Linked DNA regions of Lepisosteus oculatus. The protein of the gene in region 2 interacts with the protein of the main gene of each other region in a pairwise test. Links are inferred from orthologs where the notes say so. Each region holds a gene or a part of one and is shown on either strand. Other genes may lie near its edges.

Region 1 (3,920 bases), on a different chromosome or scaffold from region 2:
TCAGAAATACCACACATAAAACAAGGTAGAAATAAATACTACATAGGTCTGAAATTCCAGAATACAGGATAAGGATAGGTCAACTGTTTACAATAGGTATTTGTGTTCCGTATGCTTAAGCAAAATTTATACGCTATATTTACAACATGAAATAAAGAGCTTGTGCGTTCACGATTGAAAAAGGCATGGAAACAATTTTTACTGTGTTGACTGCCCTTGTTAAATAAGTCAAAACTTCCAGAGCACATACATAAGAAAAATACATTATGTATATGCAGAAATAGCATGTTTTTAGGCTGAAAAAAAAAGGGATATTCGGCAGTAATGGACTTCCCTGTTCTCCTATATATACACTCCTCCCTATTAGTCCTTTAGGCCGAGGGATGACTGTAATTATAGCCTTACAAGTCCATGACCAGAGTGACACTTTCAAGACCACCCAGGCTTTTGGCAGCTTCAGATAGCCTACTCTCACATACTCACAGGGACACAACTGGCCACAGGTCACCGGCACTCAACGGGTCTGCCCTCGCCCGGACATCCACGTTGGCTACCCATACCCCACCCACACCACCCATGGGTGGTCCATGGTCCATGGCCCATGGGTGGTCCAGCAAAATGAAGACAGCCCCGTGGTCTTTTCTTAGAAGCAGACAGAGGGTGCCTGCAGCAGTCGGGGGGCTCAGACCCAGCCCAAAAGATGAGGATCTGGGGCCAGGAGCCGGGACTTACTTTTTGACATTGGCCTCCCCGTTGGGGATCCTCCTCAGCTTCTTCTTCTTCAGGATCTTCACCGCCCGCCGGCACAGCGTCTCCGAGTCCAGCATCTCCTTCACCTTGCCGTAGGAGCCCTCGCCCAGCAGGTCCCCCATCAGGTACTTGCCGATGAGCTTGGCCCGCTTGCGCCGGGGCTGGTAGATGACCTCCGTGGAGTCGATGCGGTGGATGAAGGTGTCCATGCCCATGAGCTCGGGCTCCGCCAGGTAGTCGAGGGACAGGCGCTGCAGTTCGTCCATGCTCATCTTTGCAGCTCAGGGGTTGCGGAGTTGGGGAGGAGGAGGTGGGCCCGGGGAGGGGGGAGGGGGGAGGAGGTGCTGGAGGAAGGGAAGAGGTACTTACTCCTGAAATCCCTCCGTTTTCTCCAAGCGAGAAGTGTGGAACAAGAAAGCTACAGCACCCAGTGGATAAGACCTCCAAGAGCTCGGGAATTCCAAGGAGAACCAGACTGGGGGTGGAGGGGCAGACTCTGCCAGAGTTCAGCTATGAAGCAGCATAGCCCGGACTGGAGTTCCTGATACACACACGGATGCAGAAGTGAGGGGGGGGGCTTTTACATACACTTTAGAGGAAAAAGTCTGGTGGTGCCCCTTCACATTACACCCCGCTGCTTCACAAAACCAGGGAGAGAAATGTAGTCGGTTTATGCTTTCTTTTTCCCCGTGATGGTGGAGGTGGAGGAGTGTGGAAATTCTAACTCGATGACAGTCCCTGGTGTTTGGCTCCTGCTGGCATCGGGGTGCAAATCCACCGTCAGCCAAGGAGCCCCCAGTCCGTGGACACCGACGTCATCCAACGGGCAGAAAATGTGTCCTCCCCCCCCCCTCCCCGTCTTCTTCACACCTGTAACAAGCGAGATCTTCTTTGGTACTGCTTTTTTAAGGGAAATTTTCCCGAAGACTTGACTCCCTATCCCCCCGCTGGTTTCATATCCTTAGGATTCCCAGCACACTACTATCAAAGAGTTAAAATTAGTCCTTAGCCAGTTGCAGCAAACGAAGATCCAATATCTGGAATGCAAGAAAAATATTTCAGATCAATGATACACGTAAGGCAGTTTGCGAAGCTAATTTAAGACTATGTTAAGAATAACATTGCACATGCATTGATATAGCAAAATAGAAACAACGACAATGCATTGTACGTGTCATCTGCAGCCAAGAGGCACATTACAGATTGTAAACGGACGCTAGCACAAACGACACCGCGAGAGCTCCAAGGCGTAAGATATTAAGTGTTCTCGACCTATTCTGGCTTTATTTGAACAAAACAAAAAACCAACAACAACAAATAAATTAGCCAACCCAGTGCAGCAATGCTACAGTTTTACGCGCTGGCTGAAGCAAAAAAAAACCAAACACAAACAGAAATCCGTCGCCCGTTACCCGAGATCAGTAGATGTGAACCTACGCTGACGGCCAAGCTGCACTCTTTTACTTCACCGCTTCAAAAAATACTAATCGCTCGTTTCGTAGAGGCAGCACGGCCTCGGATCCCTCTGCTTGAACACTACACTTGACTTGTTTATATTAATAATGAAAACCCTCGTCTCTTACCTGCTCGGCGTAATAAAAACGCACCAGCCCCCCGGCACTCCGTGCCCGGTTTATCCTCTGCTTAACTCTTTCATCTCCAGACGCCTGTCCTGCCTTTATTTTTTTTAAATGTGTATGTTTCTGGAAAAGAACCGGCAGACTGGAGACCCTCCTTCTAGTCACCAAAGCTGAAGTCCAGCAGATACGATGTCAAGTACAATCCAGAGAGACCGAATTAGTAGTACGACTGCTACTCCTAATATATCACTTTATGGACGTCCCGTCGCTGGCATCTCTTCCTCGGCCTCCAAAAATCCGGCATGCAGCGCTTCGCTGATGTATGTTAATTTACGTATTTACTTTTCCTGGCGTGTATCCGTGTCGGTGTAAATAGGATAGGTTTTGAACCCCTTAAATTTGCAGCCGCCGTCAGGCTGTCGCCATCTTGTTTACCTCCCCCCTCGCTCAAGACCGAAACGCCAGCCCCTTACGTCAGCGCGTCAATATGGCAACCACTTGCGTGCGCACTTATTGGCTACACGTCGTGTCAATCACTTCCCAACACGGTCCCCTGGAGAGGCGGAACCATCGAGCGTCAGAAGCTGATTGGTCGATTCCCTCCATCGATCAATGCAACTTTCCATTGCCTGTGTGTGAGAGGGAAGCTAGGCTGCCGTACTGTATTCTGTTTGGCCGGGCAGCTCGTCAGGTTCATAATGTCATGTATAACAAGTTCTGCCTTTTCGAAATCTTTGTATTACTGTATGTATTGGGATTCTCATAGAGTGGACCGATCCCAGGTTTACGCTTATTGGCTGATCGTTACTATCAATCCTAAATCAGGGGAAAATCCCAGAATTTGCACGGAGTTAAAAGGAGTTTCCATAGCGTGCCGCCGTCACTGGCTTTTACTTGAAAAACTCGGGCAGTTATTTCTCCCAGCAAAGCACAGGCGCTGCGGACTGGATGTGATATAACACTTTCACAAGCAGCCTACGTTTGTCACAGAGCACACAACGGGTGGCGACAGTCACAGCGGCGACCGGTTTCAAGCTTTCTGGATGAGACGCGGCAATGCTATGTCAGATGCGCTCTTGTTAGAAATGACAATGAATTCACTACGCCAGCAGGGTCTAAGTGGACAATGACACCCCGTCAATATGGCTAATTGTCGGTGTTTTTAATCTCTTTATGTGCGTGCACAGAAATCGTCAACTTATAAGATTCCTAAAAGATGCCAAACGGCAGGTTTTGTTTACGGAGCTAAAACTGTAAACGTTATAACTCTAATGTTAGCAAATAAGATACACGTAGAAAATGTCTTCATTATACACACCCACATAAACTACCTGAATGACGATCCCATCTCTATATATATATAATGCGTCTCATTGTTTTTAATATTTAATCAATGGTATTTATAGGAACGCGTAGAGGTTAATTCCCCGCTGAAAATGAAAAAGAAAACCGTTCCGGCTGCGGATGTTTGTTCAGGGTGTTTGTTACTTTTACAGCTAGGCTTCATCCAAAACCGTGTTCCCGTTCTCTTGACTGTAAATGATGATGATCGCGCAGGACCTATGTTTTAGATGCACCCGAGTCACTTGC
Region 2 (3,920 bases):
AATTTGACGAATCCGCACCCTGGAGAGATACAAAACAGGAAACCAAGGATTAGCAATCACAGTCAAGAACTATATAAGCTTTGCAAAGACTGGAATTGGTTTGCCTTATTGGCATTTTTTTCTGGCTGGGATAATGTTAACATTTCCTCTAAAGTCACGCGGAGTACATCAGTGGTATTACAGCAGGCTGAGAGCAGTGTATGATAAGGGGCTGTACGGTCTCTTTCTCTCAGGTTGAGGTACCTCTCTGGGCTGCTCTGATTGAGTGGCACTGCTGGTGGAGTCCTCCCTCTGCTGCTTCCTCTCCAGTCTCTGCAGTAGCTGCTGACACACGCCTACAGTGGCGCCCAGCTGGGCCCTGAGATTTTCAGCCTCCTCGGCGAGAGAGTAGCACAGGACCGCCCTTGTGGCCTGGACTCTGTCCTTCTCCGCCACGGTCTGCTGCAGCTGCATGATCTCCAGGTCCTTCTCGTGCTGGGGCCTGCTGGTGATTCTCTGGATTTCCTGCTCTTTGGCACTCAGCTGCTGCTGCAGTTCCTGAATCTCCTGAAATTCACGGAGAGTGGGGATTTACAGTTACAAGAAATAAAACGCTTGTTGCTAATCTTAAATAAAGAGTGGTTTTATCTTGAATACCTATGCTGTGTGTGTTTTTATATCTATTTAAAGCACATAATTTAAATGTTTTCCTGTCCAATGCAGACCACACACAGACTGGGGAAAAGTAATGATGAGATGCTGACCTTCAGTTCTGCACTGTACTGTATATGATCTTAAATTCATTGCTTACTAAATTATTTGAAATAAAGGAGGCTTTCTTTTATTTCTCAGTGTCATGCCCTTATCTTGCAGGAACTATATGCACAGAAGCTAGCTTGTTCAAACACCTTGAGAACATATTTTTTTTTGTCAATTGATCTACCTAGTGTGGTCAAATGAAGTAAACATGTAATGGCATATGTTCAACTAAGTCTATATGCTGTATCTACATCAACATATTTCTTCATCTAATCATGAAACTGTAAGAATACAGAATCACAGACATGAACATTCCCTGAAACACAACATGCTAATAGCATTAAAAAAAAACGCAGGACACTAAACTCAAAACAGTCCTTTTTTCAAAAATAGGTTCCATGCACTTTCTGGCATAAAGGGATGGCAGAGAAACAGAAGAAATCACCAAACGAATTAACAAGTAAAAACAAAACAACCAAACCAGATAAGATACTTTTGAAAACAACAACAAAACAATCTTGATTTTCTGTTTGCATTTACCCTGTTTACAGACGCTTATGAATGTAAATGATAACTTTAAAAACCATATAAACAAGTCACATTTGTTTCTAGTGAAAGCACCAGCATTGCCAATCGGTGCCTTCCATGAAATGATACAGCTCTTCCCTGAGAAATGCTCTTGGGGTTTGGAAAAACTGAGTTTTTCCAGCTAAAGTGGAGGTTGCTTGTTTTAAGTTTTTACTCTTCCGGTTTCAGTATTGCAAATGAATTATTTCGCTGAATGTCTGAACCTTTACGATATTGAGATATTTGTCTAAGGCACTAAAAAGACGAGCAATAGAGTTGAATTAAATTAGAGTTGTAAGCAATATAACACACACTCGCGTTCATCGCTAAAAGCTGGAAGACGTTTATAGAATGTGTAGTTCACTCAGCCGTTTATTTTTCGATTATAATAAAACTAGGTCAGCAGAGTCCAACCCAAGTTCAAAATGTGTACTTTTTAAATAATTACTCTAATTACAGTTGAGAAGTGCATTAAATATTGGACATAAATATAAAAAAATACCTAATTTTATTAACTATACCGATACTGTAATATAACCCAAATGATCTTTGTTCAGCGAGGCGGAATTGGAAATATAGCCGTAACCATTTGGCCTATAATGAAACTTCCTAACATCCTACATCAGACGCTGCAGAAATCCCCCTTTCTATTTGCGTCACAAGAAAATTACAATCCTTTTCAATTTACAGCGGCTTACAGTCATAATTAAATTACCCACTAGTTTAATATATATAGATATTTATTTTTCAGATAAGAAAAAAGGAATTATTACTAATAGCAGGGGAACCGCTACAAATAAAATGCATTTTATTGCAGTATTATAACATCTTAAGCAGCAGATGTACACATTATACACCAAGAAATCACTTACTAGTTTCATGTTTCCCAATTGCCGATCAGCGCTTCTTTCGGTCTCTCTCTGCTGATGCTTAAGTTTACCGATTTCTTGACACAGGTTCTCGAACAAGGATTTAGAAGGTCCAAAAACCAGAGGTTCCTCTCCACCCATATGAACCGTCGTGTTTTCGTATGCGGCCAATCTTGTCTTCAAGTCAGCAATGATATTGTCCTTCAGGCACATCTGGTGGCTTAACTTGGCGATTTCTTGATTCGTTTCGTGGTAGAACGTGTTTAAAGTATTGTAGCTCTGTAGTTTTGTTTTGAGCGCCGCGTTTTCTCGCTTTATGCTTTCCATCAGAGAATCAGCTTGGTTGTATCCAGCGATCGGGCGTTCTGCGCAACCTGAAAGAGCCGACATCGGATGTCCCTCCGCTAATCCTCCAGCATTCCAGGTTAAAATTCGCTGTGTTCTTCACTTGAGACGCGCACTAACTTTTTATTCGACTGAGGGCTCTACGAACATCTCCCAGAGACAAGGGTCAGCCGTATAATAGATCGGTACATACAATTTCGAAATAATATTCCAGTACCTACTGGGGATTTCCTTCGGGACTTCCCCCAGTCGCATCGGCGGACTTTTCTTGTACTTTTCTTTCTTAGCAACTCTGAGATCCTTCAATGACTGCTTCTTTTCCGCACCGCTCTGATTAAGCTCTTCTGGTAACTTCTGGTAAATGTATTAATGAAAAAGATCAAGCGCTCCTGACTCCTTTTCTTAATGAAACCGTTTCTCTCTCTTTTTTTCCAGTAGAATGTATCTAGCCATGTCACAGAGTAAGACTACTTCTGCACATGCGTGAGATGTTTCCGGTTATAGACGGTAAACTTGTCTGGTGAATTCGTAACACCTCTTTTTTAATAGACTTTGATCATTCTGGATTTTTTTTTTCACTTTGCTACACACGGTTGATATACTCGGGACAATTTCTAAGTTTCTCACTTCATGGTTTCTTACATAACGAACACTTTTTTTTAAAACAAAAATGAAAAACACAGCAGACTTTTAAGAAGTTTTTTTTTACAAGTGTTTTCCCCCCCTTGTGATTAAATGTTTCTTACATGTCGCGTTACCAATTAAACAGTACCGACAAACACTCAATATTCGTAGAATTGTCCATCGTGTAATGTTTTTATTTTGTTTTTATTCTTTCCTTAAGCCTCTTTGCAGCCAGTGGGCTATTCATATACATTATCCTTAAAGATGGCTGCTGTTGCAGTTGTGTTTTTTTGTACTTTCTGATGCATTTGGCTCAAGAATGTTTAAATGGAAAATGGTTTAAAAATTACAGAGACCTGGACTCTTTTACCATCTTTGCAGATGCGAAGCTTCCTTCTACTATACTGTAGCTCTCTAAGGAATCCCCTTCAATCTTCTGATGGGCTTGTGTGACTGGAAATTAATTTTATTGACAAATGTAAGTCTGTCCTTACAAACAATAATCCTCACAACCACTGACTTGTTTTTCTCTGCTGTACCTGCAGTGGGAAATATTGGCTTGGTCATATGGTTTTGCGCGCTAAGTGCTCCTGGCTTTTAAACAGCCAACAATTATCAGTATTTTGCGAATATTCACGATTGTTCAGTATACAAGGGGCACTTGTATCCGTCTTCTTTTTATAAATATTTGTCACTGCGCAGTGTTCACTGTTTATGTAATATTTCAACTGTACTGATGATTTTTACACCTGGATTTGGAGAGCCAAAGGGCCTTCT

What was found.
Region 1: the proteins of tnip2 (region 2) and stk11 interact in binary tests that used the Homo sapiens proteins (3 or more experiments, as listed by UniProt). The link is inferred for Lepisosteus oculatus from reciprocal best matches to the Homo sapiens genes TNIP2 and STK11.

Annotation. Positions count from the first base shown.
Region 1 is NC_090724.1:7,566,567-7,570,486, forward strand, and holds the start of stk11 (serine/threonine-protein kinase STK11), read right to left. Parts: upstream 2,801-3,920; 5' UTR 2,334-2,800; intron 1,788-2,333; 5' UTR 1,023-1,787; coding exon 733-1,022; intron 1-732. UniProt on the Homo sapiens protein: Tumor suppressor serine/threonine-protein kinase that controls the activity of AMP-activated protein kinase (AMPK) family members, thereby playing a role in various processes such as cell metabolism, cell polarity, apoptosis and DNA damage response.
Region 2 is NC_090696.1:72,665,310-72,669,229, reverse strand, and holds the start of tnip2 (TNFAIP3-interacting protein 2), read right to left. Parts: upstream 2,996-3,920; 5' UTR 2,565-2,995; coding exon 2,178-2,564; intron 547-2,177; coding exon 244-546; intron 20-243; coding exon 1-19. UniProt on the Homo sapiens protein: Inhibits NF-kappa-B activation by blocking the interaction of RIPK1 with its downstream effector NEMO/IKBKG.